Caenorhabditis elegans: one gene and its partners. The protein of the gene in region 3 purifies or fractionates together with the protein of the main gene of each other region. This does not show direct contact. Each region holds a gene or a part of one and is shown on either strand. Other genes may lie near its edges.

Evidence for each region.
Region 1: the proteins of fkb-4 (region 3) and Y106G6E.4 fractionate together in Caenorhabditis elegans (co-fractionation; one large-scale study listed by BioGRID). This does not show direct contact.
Region 2: the proteins of fkb-4 (region 3) and dbn-1 fractionate together in Caenorhabditis elegans (co-fractionation; one large-scale study listed by BioGRID). This does not show direct contact.
Region 4: the proteins of fkb-4 (region 3) and uroc-1 fractionate together in Caenorhabditis elegans (co-fractionation; one large-scale study listed by BioGRID). This does not show direct contact.

The regions. Positions count from the first base shown.
Region 1 is NC_003279.8:10,220,921-10,224,997, forward strand, and holds Y106G6E.4 (putative 5-formyltetrahydrofolate cyclo-ligase), read right to left. Parts: upstream 1,859-4,077; coding exon 1,619-1,858; intron 1,299-1,618; coding exon 1,166-1,298; intron 1,118-1,165; coding exon 870-1,117; 3' UTR 722-869; downstream 1-721. Other genes in the region: ced-12 (Cell death abnormality protein 12), read right to left, coding at 2,053-2,194, 2,274-2,511, 2,563-2,789, 2,835-3,185, 3,232-3,765. UniProt on the Caenorhabditis elegans protein: Contributes to tetrahydrofolate metabolism. Helps regulate carbon flow through the folate-dependent one-carbon metabolic network that supplies carbon for the biosynthesis of purines, thymidine and amino acids.
Region 2 is NC_003281.10:13,758,501-13,764,193, forward strand, and holds dbn-1 (DreBriN 1/DreBriN-like (where Drebrin is from Developmentally REgulated BRaIN protein) family homolog), read right to left. Parts: upstream 3,570-5,693; coding exon 3,431-3,569; intron 3,382-3,430; coding exon 3,269-3,381; intron 2,952-3,268; coding exon 2,650-2,951; intron 2,591-2,649; coding exon 2,381-2,590; intron 2,336-2,380; coding exon 1,737-2,335; intron 1,690-1,736; coding exon 1,121-1,689; 3' UTR 944-1,120; downstream 1-943. Other genes in the region: toca-2 (Transducer of Cdc42-dependent actin assembly protein 2 homolog), read left to right, coding at 354-483, 567-741, 785-848.
Region 3 is NC_003283.11:12,784,395-12,789,202, forward strand, and holds fkb-4 (peptidylprolyl isomerase), read right to left. Parts: upstream 2,733-4,808; 5' UTR 2,606-2,732; coding exon 2,525-2,605; intron 2,372-2,524; coding exon 2,106-2,371; intron 2,005-2,105; coding exon 1,752-2,004; intron 1,056-1,751; coding exon 876-1,055; 3' UTR 759-875; downstream 1-758. Other genes in the region: sre-20 (Serpentine Receptor, class E (Epsilon)), read right to left, coding at 1-118, 452-470; srbc-44 (Serpentine Receptor, class BC (Class B-like)), read right to left, coding at 2,875-3,033, 3,172-3,273, 3,314-3,406, 3,450-3,805, 3,974-4,157; srbc-43 (Serpentine Receptor, class BC (Class B-like)), read right to left, coding at 4,803-4,808.
Region 4 is NC_003282.8:16,536,340-16,544,714, reverse strand, and holds the start of uroc-1 (putative urocanate hydratase), read left to right. Parts: upstream 1-1,965; 5' UTR 1,966-2,008; intron 2,009-2,347; exon of another isoform or gene 2,348-2,368; intron 2,369-2,391; 5' UTR 2,392-2,392; coding exon 2,393-2,518; intron 2,519-2,796; exon of another isoform or gene 2,797-2,821; intron 2,822-3,261; exon of another isoform or gene 3,262-3,288; intron 3,289-3,318; coding exon 3,319-3,590; intron 3,591-3,636; coding exon 3,637-3,778; intron 3,779-3,824; coding exon 3,825-3,953; intron 3,954-3,957; exon of another isoform or gene 3,958-3,978; intron 3,979-3,989; exon of another isoform or gene 3,990-4,010; intron 4,011-4,306; exon of another isoform or gene 4,307-4,327; intron 4,328-4,557; exon of another isoform or gene 4,558-4,578; intron 4,579-4,944; exon of another isoform or gene 4,945-4,965; intron 4,966-5,264; exon of another isoform or gene 5,265-5,285; intron 5,286-5,345; coding exon 5,346-5,638; intron 5,639-5,705; exon of another isoform or gene 5,706-5,726; intron 5,727-5,909; coding exon 5,910-6,251; intron 6,252-6,303; coding exon 6,304-6,425; intron 6,426-6,505; exon of another isoform or gene 6,506-6,526; intron 6,527-6,630; and 11 more.

The DNA of each region.
Region 1 (4,077 bases), on a different chromosome or scaffold from region 3:
TCAGTTCTTCACGCAAAAAATGCATTTGAACACTCGAATGGATTCATGTGGACAATGAAGAAGAGATTGGCTTTTGATGAAGGTTGCTGGAAACACTTGAGCCGTAGAATTGGAGCTATTAGAGCAGAGGTATGTAGAGTATATGATATATGATAATGTTCCACCTTTCAAGCTTTCCAGGGATTCGAAGTCAGAGTGACCACTCGTCAAGCAAGGGAGAAAAAGCAAAGGTATGTTGATCATGATAACCTTTTTGAAATAATAATATTTGCAGTGCGGATCGGGAGACCAAAATTGACCTCGTGTTCAACAAGTTTGAGAGTGAACAATGATTACTATGTATTGACTTTAAATGAATATTTTTGTTCAGTTTCGTGTAGTTGCTCTTCATGTAAATTACAGGGCTTCTATCATATATCGATTTAACTACATCAGTCCTCATCTCGGTCTATCTGAACTGTGTGATATTAGTGAAACCATTGAATGTATCTAATTTTTGCTAATTAATGTCTTCAGGCCTTTGAATCCTTTCGTTTTGTGTGAGCAAGTTTTCAGATATATTTACAGGCTTTTGGGACAATGCTATGCAGTTCTATGGGGCATTTCAGAACATCTCCACAAGTTTTCGTGGTGGGACCTAAAATTGAAACACCTCGGAAGGCTAGAATGCTTCTAACTAATGACTGAATAATCTATGAAAAAATTATATATAACTGTAGTTCAAAAAAGTTTATTCAGTTAACAAATGCAAGAAATTGTATCACAAAACCATTTGAGGAATGTCTGAAAAATCACTTATAAATTGGCGAGAGAAATTTAAAAAAAAATCTCAATATCACAATCGGGAATATTATTTAGAGTGTGAAGCCTTAAATAGTATCAAAAATAATAGTTTCTCCTTCATAGATAACCTCATCAAGTTCAACATCAGTTTCAGAAATAGGAATTGTACCAATAATTTGCTCACGAAGAGCCAATCCTATCTTTTTTGGGGAGTTTTCTGGAAAATGTTTGTGATGAGTGGAGAAGAAGCGATCGTAATATCCTTTTCCATGACCACAACGAAGTCCATATGGTGAGAAGGCAACGCCGGGTGCAAGGATCAAATCCAGTGGTCCTGTAAGTACTTATAAATTGGAGTTATATTATTAAAAAGCAGTCACACCTGTTTCATGATAGCTTTGCCATTTCCATTTCGGTTCTGGCTGTCTGATTCCCCAAAGTGTTGAAGGAAGATTGTCAAAAGCAGTTTGATCCGGAACTCGAACCATATCCATTGCAGTTGAGCCCTTCGTGAACTGAAATTTTTACATTTGTGACTTCAATAAATTATACTTGCTGTACGTGCCTGTCTCCCTGGATTCATATATAATATCTGCCTAGGTACTAATTGCCTGCCTACTACAAACGATTACAGCCTTCATGTCTAGGGGCCTACTTTACGCCTACCTCGCAAGTGCCTTAGTTCTGCCTGGCTACGTGCCTGCCTGCCTTTATTCATAGCTCATATCTGCCTACTTCTTGTCGGCCTACCTGCTTTATTTCTGCCTGCCTATGTGCCTACCTACATGCCTACATCTTAACATCTATTGCGCATCTGTTTCAAAATAAATTTTACCTGTGGAATGAAAACTTCTTTTCCCATTTCCAACGCTTTTTGAATAATCGAATCAGTTTGTATTTCTCCCGATGTACTAACATAAACTGACAATCTCTTGCTCTCTTGAAACCATTTCGATTCAATTATTTTTTCAAAAACCGCCTCTGTTTGACGTTGAGTTTCTTCTTTCGAAATTTTTCCGAGCAATGTCTTCATAAACTGCCTGAGCTCTGATTTTACCTCTTTTATAGCACTCATCTGAAAATGTTGGTCAAAAATTTGTTTTCAAGAGATTCAGAAAACTGTTAGTGGCCTGTAGTTAATGGCTCGTTATTCAAATTAAGTTAAATACACAGTAATAGGCATAAATTACAAAATTTATTATGCACATGGAAATGTTTTGCCTTTCAATATGGTAAAATGCACGTAAGAATGATAAAGCTTGAATATGATTAAAACTTTGAAATAAAGCTTTTGATATCGTCAGGGATCGGTGGAATTTCTGGTTTCTCCTCGGGGTTCGTGAGTTTCACATTGAGAAGGCGAACTCGTAGCTCCATTTTCAGCATTCGTTCAACCATTGCATCGGTTTCACTGAAAATATTTCAATTGGTATTTTCGGGGCTTCCTATTCTTCAGGTTACTGTAACTACAGTAACCAATGTCTAGATACCTTTTAACTGCCTTGCTCCCAATCAATTCAGCAAGACCTTCAAGCCATATAACAGATTGAGTTTCATCGGATGTCAATGCCATTAAAACTTCGCCTTCTTTCATATCATTTGTTGTTTTTAATTGTACACGAATCCCTCTTAACATTTGTGTAGATGGAGAAGAAGTGAATCGAGATGAGCTTGCTTTTCTATCAATCTCATCATTATTTGTTACATCAGCAATATCTTTGATCCAAACTGAAAATAAATTAATTTATTATTTGAGAACTAATTCAATATTCCCCCAACCTTGCCGAATATCATCTCTCTGCACACCTTCCACATAGTTCTCACCATCACATCCAGTTATAGTGAGCATTTTCTCCGATGCATCGAGCTTCCAATGCCAGAAGGCGAGCTTTGCGAGGGATTTACTTTTCTGTGGTTTTCGAAAAACGGCGCCTAACTTCAAATAGTTTAGATGATTTATTCGAACCAATTCCTCCATTTTTGGCCGCAATTTCGATTTTAGTTGTCTGAAAATATGTATACGAATAAGTTATTGGAATTTTCAGACTTACATCACAGCTTCACTATGTAATTGAATATTTTCCTTTCCCAATTGTTCCTCTCTCCAAATTTCTTGCATTGCCCTATACGAAAAAGTCTCCAAATCCGCAGATAGTTCTTCTACATCTTGTATTTCCCGTCTTTTCAGCACATGCCGTAACTGTTCCAGTACAACACACGCAACTTTCTCCATTTCACCTCCTTTTGCCTGCATCTCACGCCATGTTCGATGGAAAAGGTGTACAATACATGCGAATACAGCTGGAAATGGAGTCTCCGTGGAAAAGAGAACTACAATCAAACGATCCAACTCATCACGACCAGGTATTACTCTGAACAATTCTGCGGCAATGTCACAGCACCTGAATTTAAAAAATCATCAGAACATCTTTACGTTTGCAAAAAAACCTCATCCACATTGGAATCAGTTGCCATTTTCCTCCTTCAATCCTCATTGTATTCTCCGAAATTAGCATTCTCAGATCTTGCGGACTTTTTTCTGCAAATTGAACCATCGAAATTGCAGCCAACCGTCCACATCGGTGTTCCCCAATTTGTGATTTCCACATTTCTCTGATCTCCTCGGAAACATCCTCACTGGATTCAATATCAAGAATTTTCTGAACTTCAGCATCAGTAGGAGGTGAAGTTTCATATGCACTAATCAGACTCCTTTGAACCTCAACAAGTTGTTCAATAGCATTCAGATTTCGAACACCACCACCACCACGTAGAAGAGAACTGTGTACAGCATTACGGAATGGAACGACTTCTAAAGATTTAATAAGTTCAAATCGTTTTTCATCATCAGGACATCTTCTTATCATTGAATTCATTAGTGAAAGTGCACAAAGAGCAATTCGTTCATCTGATTTTTCAACGTGTCGAATGAGAGTCTCTATTGGAACTTCTTCGAGAATCCAATCACGAGTTGTATCGTCACTGTAAATTATACAATAAATAGAAAAATGGTACTTCTAATTTCTTTTGTACTTTGGAGTTGTTTTGTTGATTTTTTTGGATTAAAAAAATTGGAAAAATCTATATTTTAAGTATTTTAAGCTAAACTGATAGGTTTTTTTTTGGCAAAAATGAATTTTTGGAATTTTTGTTGATGAAGTTGATTTTTATGTTTTTGTTTTGAAAAATGTATGATTGTGACTTTTTTTCGGTATTATATTTAGCAAAAAATTTTTTTTCTTGGTTTTATTTCTATGTGAAGAGGATTAAATAGTTAGTTTTTTTTTGGCTAAA
Region 2 (5,693 bases), on a different chromosome or scaffold from region 3:
ATTACCGTTAAAGCAAACTTCTAACATGTTGTTGCAACACCGCTATGTGTCGATTTACGCATCTCGTGTACTCTCCGAGAAGAACGGTGCATTTATTTTTCCCAATTTATTTTTTGGTTTTTTGTCTGAAACACTTTAAATTAAAAAATAATTTGGCTATTTCAGCGTTGAATACCAAAAAAAATTAGAGGACATAGTCAAAAACCGATAATACGAGAATTTGAAATTACAGTATTCTTCAATACGTACACCTTTTCGCGTTTAGTACAAATTTGTCGTGTCGAAATACCGTACTTTTGGCGCAATAAAAAATAATTGATTGTTCGTTTAGAGACCCACTGTGCGTTTTTCAGCTCCGCCAACTGTTTACAACTCCGAAACGGCTTATCTCCTCGCCAAAAACCTCGAAGTCTTCAACTCCGACGCCACTACGACGAAGAGCCGAAATCTCATCACCAAAGATTCTCAGATCCTCATTTTCAGGTTAAATTAAAAATCCATTTTTTTCCTTTTAAAAGCTTTTATAAAAGAAAAAATAGTTAAATATAAGTATAAATTTTTTGCAGGTGCCATTCGCAAATCTTTATCGACTCCCGATTCAGTTAAAGTCGAGACAGCGGTTACGGTAACCGCACTGTTCGAATTTGCCAAATCCTCCGCGGAGACCATGTCCATCGAGCAGGGCGAAATTCTTCTCGTACTCGAACACGATCACGGAGATGGATGGACTCGAACCAAAAAGTAATACAAGTAACAAAGAATTACCAAGTAAATAAAATGAAAGTTGCAGGAAACACAACGAAGAGTCAGGATTCGTGCCAACTTCGTATTTGCAATTCCCCCAGTGATTTCATAAATTAAATAGCATTATCATCATCAATATTGTACTCGAGACTGCGCTTATTATCGTCCTGTGAATGAAATAATTGATTATAAAAACAGATTCTTCGATTTTCGATTCATATTGCCATTTACGGAGAAAATGCACATAAAAAGTAATGGTATAATAAATTACAGGAAGTGGGAGAATGGGAGGCACCGCGGATTGTTGAGTTTAAAATGGGAAAAAAACATTGCACAATAAATTAGTAAAAAAGAACGGTTAGGCTATCTAGACAAATTAAATCAGCTTCACATAATTAGCGGGAAAAAGGCCTACGCGGCCGCTGGGCGCACGTCCTTTCCACCATCCGCTATCGACTTGATCGATATCTGTGATAATGTCATCAGGATCAAATGAGATCTCCGTGTCATCTGCAGCCTGGTAGTCCCAGAGAGCCATCGCGTTCTGCTCGGCGACCGCCGGCGGGAAATCGTACTGATCAATTGGTGGAGCAGCGACTTTTATTGGCGAGGATTTCGGTGCAAACACGGGCTCCTCTGGCATCACTGGAGGCATGTCATACTGTGAGGCGATGTGAGCTGGCAGTTGAGAGCTCGATGAGTGAGAGTCGATCGGCTCCGGCGGAGCATCATACTGAGACGCATAGTGGGAAGGAGCTGAAACTGGAGGTACAGCTGGTTCGAAAGACTCGTGAACCGGTGGAGCATCGTACTGGGAGGCGTAATGCGATGGAGCTGGAGTTGGCTCAGGTGGAGGTGGAGCAATGACCGGGGTTGGAGCAAGGAATGTAGGTGGAGCTGGCTCTGCTGGTGGCTCTTCGTATGCATCGTAAGAGACGGCAGGTTCTGAAAATATTCAAATTAGGACTAATAAACTTTATACGAAAACTGACTCATAGCCTCGGGCTTGTAAACCATTGGCTCTGGCTCATAAGCTATTGGCTTTGGCGTATACGTCGAAGGCTCATCTGGCTCAGTGAGTCGGTTAACGGGTTCACGGGGCGGAGAGGTCGTGCCAACTGGCGGCCACTTCTTAGGCGATCCATTCACTTGAGGCTTCGGAAGCACTGGACCGGAAGGTTTTGAGCTGAATAATTCTTTTCTGCTTCCAACGAGACCTGCGCTCGGAGTGGGGGCGGGAGCTGGAGCTGGATTCACCGAAGATGGCACGGGCTTATCACTAATTTGAGCCTTCCCGTGAAGATCATCCGCAATCCGTTTTCGATCCGTCTCGAATTCCTTCTGCTTCTGGGCCTGTGCCTCTTTTTCCTCCGCTTGCCGCCGCTGCTCCTCCTCGTTCATCTTGCTCCAGAACTCTTCGCGAGCTGATGAACTGATCTCCACGTGCGGTTTTGTTGGCTTGTACACCGATGTGACCTTATCCGGTTGATAGTTTTCTGTTTTGGAGTGAATTTCCGAGGCCATTCGCTGTCGATCCGCTTCGAACTGCTTGTGTGCTTGTTCACGAGCGGTTTTTTCTTCTTCTTGACGCCTAAAATTGCGAATTCTATTTCAATAAATTACTCAAAACACCCACAGCTTCTCCTCCTCGTTCATCTTGCTCCAAAACTCCTCCCGTTTGACCGTCTTCAGCTCAACGTGGGGCTTCGTCGGCTTGTACACCGAGTTAACCTTCTCCGGCTGGAAATCTTCGGCTTTTGTGTGAATTGCCGCGGCCGTGCGATCACGGTCAGCTTCATACTGCTTTTGCTGTTTCGCATGAGCCACTTTCTCGTCGGCTTGTCGTCTGAAACTTCTTAGAGGTGATTACTTGATTTTCAGGACACGATTTCATGTAGACAGTACCTCTTCTCCTCTTGATTTGTTGTGCTCCAGAAGTTCTCGCGAGCCTCCGAGCTGAGCTCCGAGTGTGCATTCGTCGGCTGGTACACCGAATTCACCTTCTCCGGCATGCTGTACGTGGATTCGACGATGGCGTTGGCGTTCGCCGCCGGGAGCTTTCGCACCTCTTTTCGAATCGCGTCCGGCTCGATGTCGATTTCCGATCTGGCATGGAGCACAATGTGAACTGTTTTCAAGAATCTACGGAACTCTTCAGCGTGCGGTGTCGTTGAGGCCAAACGCAGTGTGGGGACTCCTTCGCCTTGCTGCAATATTCAAACATTAAAATGGTTTTTTTCCTGGAACTTCGTGTTTAAAAGTATACAAATCTCGATACATCTCTAAAAATATTTGAAACCATAACTGACAAAGAATTTTTGGAAAAAACTACAGTTTTTGTTTTACAAATGGATTTTTAAAAAAAATTTTCAGCAAAAAATCTCACAATAGCGTTATCTTTTGAGAGGAACATGGAATGCAAGCAAATTGACATGATTTTTGTTAATATTCAACTTTTAAGACCTAGTAATCACGAATTTTTTCGATTTTCGTTTTCCTTTCAATTTAGCCGTAAACTCCATACCCAATGCACCAAAACGATTTTCGGGAAGACATCACTGCTCAGTCGCACCGAAATCACACCAAACTGGAGCTTTCCCGAGCTGAAACTGTCGGCGAACTCCTCAAGACCACCAGCTGAAATAAATAGATTTTTAGGAGGGAAAGCAACGAAATCTGAACTTACTTCCTTCTTCTTTGACTCGTAATGTGTTCGAATTTCCTTCATAATCGAAAATCACCCATTTATCGCCATCTGAGTCATCACTGGCACGCCGATACGACGCTTCAATCTCCTTGCCGTGTGCATGATAGTTGAGAGTCATCTGGAACACATACAATATAGGGTTCGACGACCTATATTGTAATTATTAAGCTAAAATCGAGGGAAAATTGTAATAGTGACGCGATAAAAAGCCTCCGAATGGTCTCCTTATCATTTTTTTATTTTCTTTCTACGCAGAACTTATTTCTCTATGGTACTCCATTAATCACACTATGTTTCGCAACATATGGCAAATTTGCCACAAAGGTGTGCATTTTTCTCGATTTGATCGAGTCACGAGGTAATTTTCAATTAAGGCCGAGAAATTTATGGGTTAATATAAAGAATCTCAAGTAAAAAATCGTTTAAAAGACCATTTTCGGTAGTTGACCAGGAAATGAGAGAACGGAACGGGCGTAGCCGCCAGCAAACATCTCTCGTTCCCGCGCCAGCGGTAGGCAGAGACCCTCCAGAAAACTAAAGAAATGTCTCGAGAGATGTTTTTTTTTTCCGGTAGGCGAGATTGAATTGGAATCAAAGCTTAATCTTCTCGCGGTCGAGTCTCCGCGTGCGTGTCTCACACATTTTTGCATGAAAAACTCCGGATTCTATGGTCTGATCGTTGCGATTAAAAATGGAAAACTAATAGGCTGACCGACAAAAATTTGCGAAAATACCCAATTATTTTCAATGCAAAGATACAAAATTTGATGGAAAAGAGAAACAAATAAACTTTCAGAAATCAGGTTAAAAGAGGATGGGTCTCGCCACGAATAGATTTTTAAAGTCATGTGCCTTTGAAGTTACGGTAGTTGAGCGGCTTCAAATTTATTATTTTTAATTATGGCAATATTTTCACTTTCTGGTTAATTTTAAGCGAAAAATTGAGTTTGGAGGAAATTTGTTTCGTTTCAAATTATTTAAATTGTTTTGAAACAGAAAAAACTAAAGCTGTAATTCATCGCTTAAAATTTTATATTTACAGATATTTCTGATCTAAAAAAAACAGAAGAAAGAATATTCAAATGTTCAAGAAAGAATGTCAACAGTACTGCTAGAAATTCAAAAAATAAATCTAAAATTTGGAGCGTTTGAAGGTGGTTTAAGCTTTCATGAAAACATTTTAAACGATCTGCAGGTTAAAATCTAAATAAAAATAGGTTTTCACATTGAAAAACGGCATAGATGATTAATTTCAACACATTTTTTAGATTTTCTACATATGTACTCATCTATTTGAAAACGAAATTGAAAGGGATAGAAAACATATTAATAACACTAATCAAAAAGAAACATTGGCCCCAAGATGTGTGTGAGTCACTTTTGATTGTGTTTGTGTGTGTTGGGCCAGTTCAGGGCGGCAGTAAGATAGTAAGGGAAATAGTGAGGCTGTCCGTTAAGACGCAGCAGTTCAGAGCGCTCAGTGGAACATACGACCGCCCTTAATGGCTGTCGTCTCTCACTCGTATGAAGTCGGACACAAGAAGTATGTAGTAGTAGTGGTATATTTAATTGTTCGTGTGTGTAGGTCTTTACTAAAAACTTTTCCTTCTAGGTGACCCTAAATCTCTTCGCTTTTCATACTGTCTCACAGTCAAAGGGTTAAAGCAGTAAATTTTGGGATTTTCTGCAGAATGACTAATCTCTTGATGACTTCTCTACTTGCGACTGTTTGTTTGCGCATTTGTGAACTGAGTCATTCTGATCATTTTTGGGGGAATGAATTGTTCCATCAGGTTGATTAAAAAATAGTTGGTGAATCGAAATTTCAAAAAAAAATTGAGGCAGGATGTTTCGCGCGCTGGGTAGAGAAAAACGATATTTACATAAAATGAACAAAGTGAAAACATAGAATCTCTTCCTCTTGGCTGTCCGAAAAGCAAACAGAAACCGTGTGTTAGGGCAAAAATACAGAGAAAAAGCCATTCGACACACTTCTCTCTCTTCCTCCTGACTCAGTCACCAGTGCTCACAGCGTGCATTTGCTCTTTCCGAGAGAGAAAATCTTCTCAATACATCCGGAAACCTTGGAAGAACAACAAAAAGTAGAAAATATTGATAAAGACATTTGTATTCACTGAACATATGAATCGTTACTATTTTCGTTTACCGTAGTATTACAATATATATTTACAATTTTCCAGTACGGGTGGTGAGAGGGATGCAAATAAACTTGGGAGAAACT
Region 3 (4,808 bases):
AGACATAGAATTGTTGCAATTGATGCAATCAATACAATTATTATGTACATTATATTTTCAGTCATACTCATTTTGCGAAGTGCTCCATCAAGAAATAATGAAAATATTGTAGGGTTACCTGAAACAATAAAACATTTTGATGCGTGGTTTGCTTCAGTTGAAAAAAAAACTGTTTACAGTAAATGACTCAACGCAAAAAATTCACCTGATTCTTTACGGGAACGGCATCATATTTCTCAACAGATACCTATACCTATTTTACTGTAACAGTTTTTAATTGTGACAAGATTAACTTCTTTAGTACAACATGAGCACTTTCAAGGCGAGTTACGTTCTTTAAAGGTACACCAATAAACATTTTCGCTACATTTTATGATTTAAATTTGAACGTCAAATTCACAAGTTCCCGGAACGTGCAGGAAAAAATGTCACTTTATTAAAAAAAACTTACACACTGTTGAATGGGGCATTGTTACCAATATCTCTTCTGACATGAAAATGAAAATTTCGCACCGACAGCTTCAAATTTAAATGTCTTTCTAACAATTTTGTAGCTCAATTACAAATCAAAAGAAAATTGTAGGTTAACACTGGCAGTAGTCAGCCGACACTCCCCACTTTCTGAAAACTTATGACGAAGTGATGTTGGTTGGTCTTTCAATTCAATTTCAGCTGCTCTCCGACTTTATGAGAGCCGATGGCTACAGAAGCTTGCTTCGGATAATCGTTGCAGCTGGTTTTTTGAAAAAATCTACGAGAAATCAAGAAATTTTTATGGCACAAACACGTACATATGTAACATTAACAGAGAACGTTCAACGGAAACAGGAAGTCCTTTTCAATAATTAATCAAACAAAAAACATCTGAAATCACTCTAAAGTTCATCTCTTTTAACAAGCTTTTCTAGAACAATTTCGAAGAAAAGACGAGCACCACCGGGAATCTCTGGTGGGGATCCTTGGGATCCGTATCCATATTCAGATGGAATCACAACACGACGTCGTTCTCCTTCACACATTCCATCCATTGCAATATCCATTCCATCGATAACTTCCTAAAATTATATTGTATTATGTACTTTGCCACAAAAAATTTTTCCGATCATATAATATTGCGCCAAAATTTCATGATATATATATTTTCATGTTTTTTTTTCTAGATCATCAGAATATTTCAATTTTGAAGATCAAATAAACAAGAATAATATTAATAAAAAAATTCAAACAAAGAATTAAGCATAATTTTCATTGGGTTTTGTAATTTGCTCCCTACGTAAAAAAATTGTAAATTTCACATGACAGGTGAAATAAGATTTCATTAACCAATGTAACAACCAGTTTCTTTAATTTTTATAAACCACATAACACCTAGCTCAAACCACATTTTCATCAGACAGTTATGAGATTAAAAATGAAAACGTACATTCTCGGGATTTACATACACCATATATTACATACATCAACTTCTAATAGGTACTCAAAGAGTAAACCAAAGTTTTAAAAATGTTTAAACCAATTTTTGCCAAAATCTGACAAAACTTCGAATACTCTAACTCAAAATACAAATCCAAAATCTGGCCCAACTTCAAACAAACTTTCGTCCAAGGTTTGGTAAATTGGGCAAAAAGTGGCCGGGAGAGAAATTTTATTTTATTAAATTGAGTGTCAAAAAAAATCTGTGATGATTTTTTTTCTCATTAAATTTCATTTACCTATATGCGGTTGGTTTTTTAATAACTGAAAAAACTTACTCTGTTTCTCAATCTAAATACAAACGGAGCATTTCTTGAATAAGATGAGTCCACAAGTGTGTTATCTTCTAATCTCAAAACATATTGCTGATAAATCTTGTCGCCAGCTTCAGCTTTTTTACATTTGTCTGCTTCAATCTTGTGAATCTGATCAATTTGAATTCCTTCTTCAGTGACCCATCTCTCCCCAGGATTCGCACGGAACAGGTTCACCAGCTGGACAGTGTAATAGAGTGGCTGACCAGTCGAGTCTCTGTAATTATAAAAAAAAACTTCATGTATGGTTTCAATGATCAAACTTCTCAGGAACAAATTATCCTTAGGAAACTAATAATAATATAATCCCTTGCTTACTTCGCAAATCCTAGTTTCGGGGGAATCACAACTTTTCGAATCTCTCCAATACACATTCCTCGCATAGCTCTATCCATTCCAGGTATCACTTGATTCCTTCCCAACGTGAATGTATATGGTTTCTTTCCAAAATTGCTTCCAATTTCAACTCCCTTCTCATCTGTCAACTTGTAGTACTGATCAACTACATCGCCACCTGCGGATTTGATCTCGCATTCGCTCTCATCTATTGACGATGTTATCGTTATTTCTAATCCGTCATCTTCCTGAACGATTGAATAGTTTGTTCAAGAAGAAGTGGTTTTTTTTTAAATTTCCTAATATCGTTTATAGTTTGGAAACTGTACTTCCAATTGTTTTTATGATATATTTCACGAAGTCAAGCTAAATGAAAAATTCCAATTTGTTAAATAATATACCTTCCAGCTCTTATCGTTTGCAAAAACTGTCGATGAAAATACAATAATCAGGAAACAAGTGGTTCGATATAAAAACTTCATTTGATTTTTAGTAATAGAAATAAATGTTTTTGGGGAGTGGAATTAGTCTAAGTGGATGAGCGGTTACAAATGCGTCTACGACTGCGTTTTCTATTTTCTTACACTGATCGAAGGCCAACACGGCAACAGCAGTATCTATCGCATAGTGTCCTTCTTTTGTGCTTGCGTCTCGTACTATCTCGCTTACAAGAATCGTTTAGCAAGCTTTTCGCGTAAGGGAAGTAAAACAAGAGAAGAGGGAAAATGATCTGACAATTAAAATTTATAAGTTATGTTCTACTAGATCCATGTCGGTCGGAAATTCTTTTCAGTGAATTTATTTGTCTAATTTGAGTTGGTTTTAATGGTTTTTTCAAGACCCAAGTTGCAATCATGGCATCGATAAAGCATGCAGTACTTTTTGCAGTAGCATTGTAAGGCCCATAGATCTGAAATTATAATTTATCAGCTCTTCTAAGTCATTACTATAATGTTTATAAACTTCTCAAATTATTTAAACCTAATAATTTCAAAGCCTTTTGTAAAAAATGTTTGAGCAAAACAGTTTTCAAAATAATTCCACTTACGTCTGCAGAATAAAGTTGTGTTCTGAGAACAAGCGTCAAAAGAAATGGCGTAAAGTCAAATAGAAGAGTCAAACATGAATCACCAATACATAAGTAATTTGTCTGAAAAAAGTATTAATTACTAAAGGCTAAATTTGCCTACCTTTGATAAATTGACAATATTCATGGTTTTTTTCAATGCCAAAAGTTTGAAAAAGAGAACCAAAGAGCTTAAGCAAGTGAATCCTCCAATTACCTGAAAAGTATTAATTGAAAATAAATACAATTAAAACTCACACCAATTTACTACCAGTCCAGTATTGCAAAAAGCAATCATTATAAGTGCATCCCAGAACTGAGCAATCTTTTATGAATGGAGAAATATCACAGATCCAAAAATACATAACGTCTTCAAACATTCCCCATAAAAGTAACATAGTGAAAAATATAAAAACAGGTAGTTTTTGACGATTATTATGAAACTGAACAGGCAAAAATACTGCAATTAATCTTTCTATCGAAATCAGAGCAGCTAGGAAAAATCTGGTGGACAGGATGTTTGAGGATAATAATGTCACGACAAACAATATCTTGTAGTGAAATAGAAAGAATGGAGAGAGGTAAGATATATCCAAGGCAACATAGTATATACTAACTGTAACCATGTAAGATTTTTCGTTTTCGACATTTTGAGGGTTTGCACTATCCTGATCATATGAGCCTCTATACTATCAGACATAGATTTAAAGAGGAATTAATTTTATGCCTGCGACACCCACTGGGTGAGAATTTATTGCATTTTCCAAAATCTATTAAACATTACCTGCGATTGAATAACATATATCAACAAAAAATCGTATTTGGTATAAATGATATTCCGGTTTCTTCCTAATTGGAGAGTTTTGAAACTTCCACAGAAGTCTAATGTTCAAAACCACAACAAATATCGACGCTGTGATTCCTGCCGAGCTGACCGAAAATGCCTTGTGTTTGAATTCGTAAGACATTAGAAGAGAAAAAAAAATGCCAAAGACTAGAAACTTGTCAGTCTTATGAAGTATGCCAAATTTCCGCTCAGAGAAAGCAAAACGAGGAGATCGAAGTGAACTGAACTGTAAGATCACTGATGTGCACAAAAACTTCCTAATCAGATTAGAAACCGAAAACCAATTATATGTACTGAGATTCTTAGTGATGATTAATATGATGAAGTTTGGAAAAATGTAGTATAATCTCACAAAAAATTACTCCATTATCAAAATGATGGACACAACGCAGTTTCCAGTACTACCATTTCCAAGCAACAGTTGAAAGTTTTTCCGGGTTCTCAGTTGTCATTTTCGGCAATTTTCGGAAACTTCAAAATCATTGGCGAAAATTTGACATGTTATGTTCTGTAGTTCTGTATATGGACACCCGTATAAAGAACATCCGTGCATTTTGTAGCAGAAATATTATGTTAACGCAAAAATAAAAATATATACATTCATATGTACATAGGAAGCATAGAATTTGGGTGGATTTTCAAATTTTGAACCGGTTTAAATATTTTTTTACGGTTTACCAATTTTTCTTGTTTATCCTCAGATACCAAAAATATTAAGTATGCATTACAATTTTCAGTAATTTATCCACATCCACAAAGGAATGATTTAAAA
Region 4 (8,375 bases), on a different chromosome or scaffold from region 3:
TTAAAAAACGGTGCAAGAATTGAAAAAAAAAACTAATTTCATAGTTAAGATAGAAGTCGGGTTAGCAACCGAACAAAAAAAAGAAATTTCTTGTACATAAGCTGAAACGGTAATTTAATTTTTTTTTATTTTTAGGATGTTCCCGATGAAACATAATTTAGTGGAGCTCCGTCATGTTCTGGTAGTCCAGCAACATACCTAAAGTATTTTTTGTATTGTTTTTTGTTTTTGGACGAATTTTAATTTTCAGTCGGGGAGTTTAAAACAAAATTCGTAGTTTTTTTTTTTGGTTCTTTTACTAAGATTTTTACTAAATCAAAAACAAATGCCATTTTTATAAAAACTAATTGAAACTGTCAAATTGTAAAAATCTGTTTTTTTTTTCAAACATTGTGATTTAATTACAAACTTGCAGTGCCGTTTACATTCCATATTTGGATTGGATTAGAATTGGATCTTCCATAATAGGTAGGCGCGGTTTCAGGGACCTGACGCCTGCCTCGAATCGCATTTTTACGTTTTTTTCTCATTTCAATAATTTTGTTGAAAATCAAATTAAGATATGAAAAAACAAATAGTTCGTGTATGTTTTAGAATAAGGCGCGTATTGAGGCAAGAGGCAGGCGGAGATCGCCTTAAGGTCAGGCAGGTGGGAATTTGAACGCCTTCATGGAAACCTTAGTTTTTGTAATTAACAAGACATTTTGTAATTTACAGCAAATATCAGAAAAAGATTAATGAGAAATAAGAATGTTCACTAGTACATAGCAGCTAGTTGAAACTGCGATTTTATTTTATAGTCTCACGTTCAATTTGAGCCAAATTTGCGATTCTGAGCTTGAAGTAAAAATTGTGCAGGTGGTTTGGGTATACCGTGAGACTATCCAATAAATTTACAGTTTCAGCGTGTTGTACATAAGAACACGCTGAAACTGTAATTTAATTGGATAGTCTCACGGTCAATTTGACCCGTGTTTCGGGTGTTCCCGTAAGAAACATAATTTTCTAGAGCTCTATCTTGTACTGGAGCTCCTCAGAATCCTGGTGGTCCAGCAGCACACCTGGAGGACTAAAGTGCTGAACTGTTCTCTTAAATGTTCTGTTTTTTTTCGGGCCAAAAACCAAAAGAAAACTATATTTCAAAAAAAAAACTTTTTTATTTTTATTTTTGATCAAAAACTTTTTTTGGTAAGACCTTCCTCCTGTATTTTTTTTCAATTTCAAAAATTCTGCAAGAATTCAAAATGTTGTAATTTTAGTCGCTTCAGTGAGGAAATATAAAACTGCATCTACATAGCAACTAGCTGAAACTGTAATTTTTTATTTCATAGCCTCACGGTTAATTTCCACTAAATTCGCGTTAAATCCAATGTTCTATTTTATAATTTTTTATGGATGCTTTAAGCAAAATTTGGTATTTCTTTTCGAAATTCTTCGGACCAAAAAACAAACAAAAAACAGAAAAAACTGTTTTTCCAAAGATTTTAATTCGTTTTACAGTTTTAACTTACAAATGTGATGTAGGTAGTAAGCAACAAATAAATTGCAGTTTTATAACAACTAGTTGAAACGGTCAAATTTATAAGCTCTGAAAGTTGTGTTTCCAATAAAACTCTTAATATATATCACCGATTTATAACAACTAGCGGAAACAGTAACTAAAAAATTAATTTTATAAATAATTTTAAAGTCCCAATGTTCTATTTTCGAATTCTACCCAATCGCGAGATTCTGCATTCAGATCTTATCATCTTTCTCTTCCAAATACACACACACACACCTTGAAACTAACCAATAAAAATGCAATCATCCGACCGTTTCGTCGTCGTCAAGGATCGTAACCTGGAACCAGAAGACGAGAATCATCAAAACAGAGAATTTTATGGCGGTGATCTATTGGGCGGGAAGGAACATACCACGTGGGAGAAGGGGGAGGAGAAGTCGAACATTCACGAGAAATCTTTCATTGCTGATCAGAATAAGTTCGGTTTTGTTGGCAAATTTTGAGGTTAGTTTTTTGATGAGTGCCGAAATTTTACCGAAATTTGGAATTCGGCAATTGTCAATTTTATGAACTATACCAATAAATTGTATTAAAACTTCTAGAATGCTCTAGAAAAATCTGGAAACTACTAGAATTTTCTAGAACAAAACTGGAAACTTCTAGAAATTTCCAGAGAAATCTATAAACTTCTGTAATTTTCTAGAAAAATGTGGGAACTTTAAGAATTTTTTAGAAAAATCTGGTAACTTCTAGAATTTTCTAGAAATTTTTTTTTAAATTTTATTTTTTAAAAATTACTGTTTCATCACATTGAGAAAATGTTTTTACTGTTGATTTTTCTAATTTCGTATACTGTTGACTCGGTTTGTGAAGACTCAATTTTCCAGCATGAACATCCCATCTCTCTTCGTCGACCCATTCTCTCCGCTCCTCGAGCATCCAACGGAGCAACGTGCCAAGAATGTGGCTCACGCACCAAAGCGTCCGTGTAATCTTACACAGACAGAGAAAATGGTAATAAATTTATCTTTGAAAAGATAAAAAAAATGTACTGTTTCATTAAAAACGTTTAGGCACTTGACTTGGAATTTTTTCTTTTCAAATGAATTTTTTGAAACTGCAAAAACAGTTTCATTGTTTCATTGAGCGCTTTAAAGAAGACTGTGAAACATAATCTTTGACAAGTTGGCTGAAAATGAGCCTAAACTAACAAATTTTTTAGAAAAATTTGGCTAAACTCTGAAATTTTTTGCCTAGTTTTTAATAAAATTAGCTTTTTTTTGTTGCATCAAGAAGTTTAAATGCTACACTGACTAACTAATAGAACTTTTTACAAATTGAAATGCAATATTTGGAACAGTGAACATTTTTACCTTTAATTTTTCAAATCTACTCCTAATTATGGTAAACTATTTGCAATGAGATCAATGTTATAATTTATTGTTCCGACATCTCCCGGGTTGCACAGTGTTCTCTGTGCTCGGCGCAATTTGGGAGATACCAATTAATTGAATGAAGTTGTTGTGCCAATTCTAGTTCAGAAAAAAGTAAGAGAAGACTGTAACAAAATTTACAATTTTTTTGCAATTTTGGAGCAGTTTTTGAAGTCGGTAGGCTATGTAGTTTTCGAGATCAAGAACAATCAAGAAGATCAAGAATCAGATCAAATTTTAATTTAGGAGCTGAAAAGCTGTTGGCTATTAGTTACAAAAGTCTGTTTCACTTACTTGATAAAATACAAGTGGAATTCCAAAATTTATTGTTTCGAACTTCAATGCAGGTCCCAACCAGCTTCAACTATAAAATTCTTCCAGCTCGCCGTCCGCAATGCTCTCCGCTACATTCCAAAAGAGCATCACGTCCTTCTAGCCACCGAGTTCGCTGAAGAGCTCAACACCTATGGACACATCTATGGGTATCGGTTCATGCCAAACTTTGATCTATTCGCGCCGCCCGTCTCGGAGATCGGAGCTCATTGCGAACAAGCATCGGCTATCATTTTGATGATTCTAAACAATTTGGACAAGCGGGTTGCCCAGTTTCCACAGGAATTGGTGACTTATGGAGGAAATGGTCAAGTTTTTAGGTTAGCATGGGAATCTTTCTGAAATGCTTGAGAAATGATATTTCAGCAATTGGATCCAATTCCGTCTGGTTCTTCGTTACCTCTACACAATGACTGACCATCAAACTTTGGTGCTCTATTCCGGACACCCATTGGGCCTATTTCCATCAACCCCGGACTCGCCAAGAATGACTGTTACTAATGGAATGGTAGGCCTTTGGAAACTAGGATGCTTCGTACATTTTGACATTTCAGATGATCCCGAGCTACTCGACAAAGGAGCTGTACGACAAGTATTTTGCATTAGGAGTGACGCAGTACGGACAAATGACTGCTGGAAGTTTCTGTTATATTGGACCACAGGGAATTGTACACGGGACTACGGTAAGCCGTTAAATGGAGTTTGGCATTAAAACACCGTATTACCGTCAAATTTAATGAACACACTAAAACAGTCAAATTTATTTTGGAAAATGGGCAAAGCAGAAGGTTTTCAGTATACAACGGTTTTAGATGGAATTTCAAAGGCAAAAATTCAAGGATTTCAAGATTTTTGTTTTTTTTTCTGAATATGATTCTTGTCATTTATATAATCCAAACTGCACCAATGTAGTAGAGAAGTGACTCAAAGAAAACATGTTATTTCTAATAACTAACTCAGCCCTAAAATATACGGACACTGTGAAACATTAAATTTTTGTAAATTTTATTTTTTTTTTTAAATAGTTATATAATGAACCAAAGCTGAAGTTTTGGCATTAAACACCTTATTACTGCCAGAATATATGAACACACTGAAACAGTAAATTTTATTCTGGGATATGGGCTACACAGAAGGTTTTCAGTATACAACGGTTTCAGATAGTATTTGAATGATTTTTGTTAAGTTTTTGTGTATTATTCTAGTTATTTTATAATCCAAACTCCACCAAAGTAGTAGAGAAGTGGCGTCAAGAAAACTTGATATATTGCTTTAATTTATAGCGGTGTTCTCTTGAAAACCTTCCTAATAGCTAACTCTCTAAGTCCTAAAATATGTAGACACAATGAAACAATAAATTTCTGAAATTTGTAATTTTTTTTTCAAGAGTTACATAATGAACCAAAGCTGATAATATTTTGTCCCACTGAAAAAATTTACTTACTTCAACTAACCACAGTATTTATTAAAGAGTGATAATTTAACAAAAATTTAGTTCCAGACACTTAGAAGATGACAAAATTTTTGATTTTAGCTGAAAATGAGACCTTTTTTATCAGAACTTTGAACCGCCATAACTTTTTTTTTTGAGAAATTTTCAAAATGTCTCGTTACGAAATTCAGTAGTTTTTGGGGAATCTTGGGTCGGAAAAAGCAAAATCTCAGATTTCGGTACTCCACCTTAAATAGAGTCGAATAGCTATCTTACAAAGCCCTAAAATATGTAGAAACTGTGAAAAAATAAATTTTTGTAAATTTTATTTTTATTTTTTCAGTAGTTACATAATGAACCAGAACTGATAACATTTTTTTTTAATTTGAATTTCGTAATTTTCTTAAGGTTTTTCAAAATTGACTTATTAGAAGCAGAAAGTTGAAAGTCTTTTCACTTTATAATATTTTAAAGAAATCTAAATGATTCGAGACCAGATGCAACAGATTACAGCTTTTCTACCCATATAGAAAAATAGTGACGTCACTATATGAGTTTTTCTCGATCTATTCTTCTTGTCCGATTAATTTCATCACAACTCTCCTGAATTTCTGAACCCCCTGAAACAGTAAAAATTCTCCAGATCACAGTCCTCAACGCTGGTCGTCGTATGGGACTGGATTCCCTTGCTGGTAAGGTTTTCGTAACTGCAGGACTTGGAGGAATGAGTGGAGCTCAACCAAAAGCAGCTAAGATTGCTGGATGTATTGGAGTTATTGCGGAAATTAGTGATACTGCATTGTTGAAACGTCATCAACAGGGATGGTTGGATGTATATTCGAAGGATCTTGAGGAAATTGTGAATTGGATTAAAGAGTACAGAGAGAAAAAAGAGGCAATTAGTATTGGATATTTGGGGAATGTTGTTGACTTGTGGTGAGTTTTAGAAAATTTTACTGTTTCAGAAAGTTGTTAAATTTTTTTATGAAAGTGTGAAAGGCGATCTACGGAGCAAGAGGGAAAATAATTAAAGGAAACGAGAAAAGCGGAAAAAATTGTAATACAAATAATATATCTCATAGTTTCGGAACCAAGATTTTTTTTAAATTACAGAATTTTTTACAAAGATTTTTCACAATTAATAAACTTGGTAAAACATTATTCACAAAAATTCTAGACAAAAAACTATGAGTTTTCAAAATTCCAGGGAACGGCTCGCCGAGGAACCGGAATGTCTTGTAGAACTGGGAAGTGACCAAACTTCTCTCCACAATCCATTCCTTGGAGGTTTTTACCCTGCTGGACTCACTTTTGAACAATCCAATCAAATGATGACTTCTGATCCTGTAAAATTCAAAAAACTTGTTCAAAACTCTTTAATCCGCCAAATCGCCGCCATCGACAAGATTGCTGCAAAGGGAATGTACTTCTGGGATTACGGTAATGCTTTCCTTTTGGAATGCCAGAGAGCTGGAGCCAATTTGCTCAGAGAGGATGCTCAGGATGATAAATCGTTTAGATATCCAAGTTATATGCAGGATATTATGGGGTAATAATTATTTGAAAAGAGTACAATTTAAATAAAATAAATTCTGTTTCAGAGACATCTTTTCAATGGGATTTGGACCATTCCGATGGGTTTGTACTTCTGGAAAGCCGGAAGATTTGAGATTGACTGATCAGACAGCATGCAAGATTATTGATGAGTTGAAGGATACTGATGGTGAGTGCTTTTATGTTGTAACAAAAAAATCGACTGTTTCACTATGGCTATATGTATGTTCACTATTTTGAGAAATTTGATGGGTTCAGTGTGTGTATCTTTGAAATTTAGTACTAATCTCATAAAATTGAGCATTTGTTGGCGAGAAATCATATATATGCTGTTTCATATTGTCCATAAAACTGCCGACGAATTTTGACTTTAATTTTTAATATTTGTTAGGAAATTTAGGGATGTGAAGCTGTTGAAAAAAAAAAAGAAAAACGAATAGCCAGTGTAATATTCTTGAAACCGTAAATAACTACTAAATAAAATAGCGTACTGTTTCGAGAAGTTTATATAATTTTCGCTTTTTGAAAGAGGTTATTCCGGAAATATTGCTAAAAAAAAGCAGAAAACTTCTACAATTTCGCATAGTCATTAAAGTATGTTCGATTATTTTATTTTATTAATTTTGCTGAATTAAAAAATAACATATTAAAGGTGGAGTACCGAAATTAGTGACTCTGTTTTCTTAGACCAAAATGAGTCCAAACCTACCGAATTTTGTAATGAGACGTTCTGAAAATTTCTCAAAAAAAAAAGTTATGACGGTTCAAAGTTTTAGAAAATAAGGCCCATTTTCAGCTAAAATCAAAATTTTTTCCAACTTCTCGGTGTCGCAACGTCTGGAATTGAATTTTCATTTATTCATCACTTTTTAATAAATATTGTGGTCATTGATTGGGCGTTTATTCGTTGATTTAACTACATTTATGGTCTTTGGGGCACAAATAAAAGTTACATTTTGTGCCTCACTGACCATAAATGTACTTAAATCAACGAATAAACGCCCAATCAAAGGCCACATTATTTATTAAAAAGAGATGAATAAATAAAAATTCAATTCCAAACGTTGCAACACCGAGAAATTAGATAAAATTTCGATTTTAGCTGAAAATGGGCCTTATTTTCTAAAACTTTGAACCTTCATAACTTTTTTTAAAGAAATTTTCAGAACGTCTCATCACAAAATTCGGTAGTTTTGGGCTCATTTTGTTCTAAAAAAACAGAGTCTCTAATTTCGGTACTCCACCTTTAAGAGTAGAAACATGTAGTTTTAGGGGAACTCATCAGGTTATTTATCAAATTTATGCTTGGAAAAGTTGAAAGTCTACCGAAAATGTCTTTTCCGCTGAAAAAAATTAACATCGTTCCCGGAAACCCGGGATATGTCGTACCATGATGAACAATTCACAAAGTGTCGACCGCAAAGCAAGTATACCAAAACGAGAGATAGGAGATGCGGTTTGAAAACAAGTTGAATTTGAGAATTTTTCACTGTTTCCAACTTTGCATTTTAATTTGTAACGTATTGTATTAGACAATTTGTAAAAAATTATGTTTTTTATTATCTTCAAAATACTATGATCCTGAATGAATTATTTGAAATGGGTACCCTTAACTTTAACAAATATTCGCTCTTAAAAATTCTGAGAAAATTTGCAAAAAATCACCACGTCTTCTTCTTGAATGGGTACCACTGAAAATTAATTGGGTTGTTATTTTTATTCCGAAATATACTCACACTGCTGCCAAGTTTTGAAACTTTCTGTTTCTAGCAGAGACATTGATTTTTTCATTTTGAGAACCAAAAATCGAATCATTATTTTTTGCTAGTTTAATAAGGCTGAGCAAATCAAACCACCAACTCCAAATTTCAAAGCACATTTATCATGTTTCATAGACTCTGTTAAACCAACGTTTCAGTCCCCGAATACGTGAAACAGCAATATTTGGACAACAAGAAATGGATAGAAGAAGCCGAGAAAAATAAGCTCGTCGTTGGCTCACAGGCACGGATTCTATATTCGGATCGTGCTGGAAGAGTTGCATTGGCTTCTGCATTCAATGAGCTCGTGAAATCTGGAAAAGTGTCGGCTGCAATTGTAATTTCAAGAGATCATCATG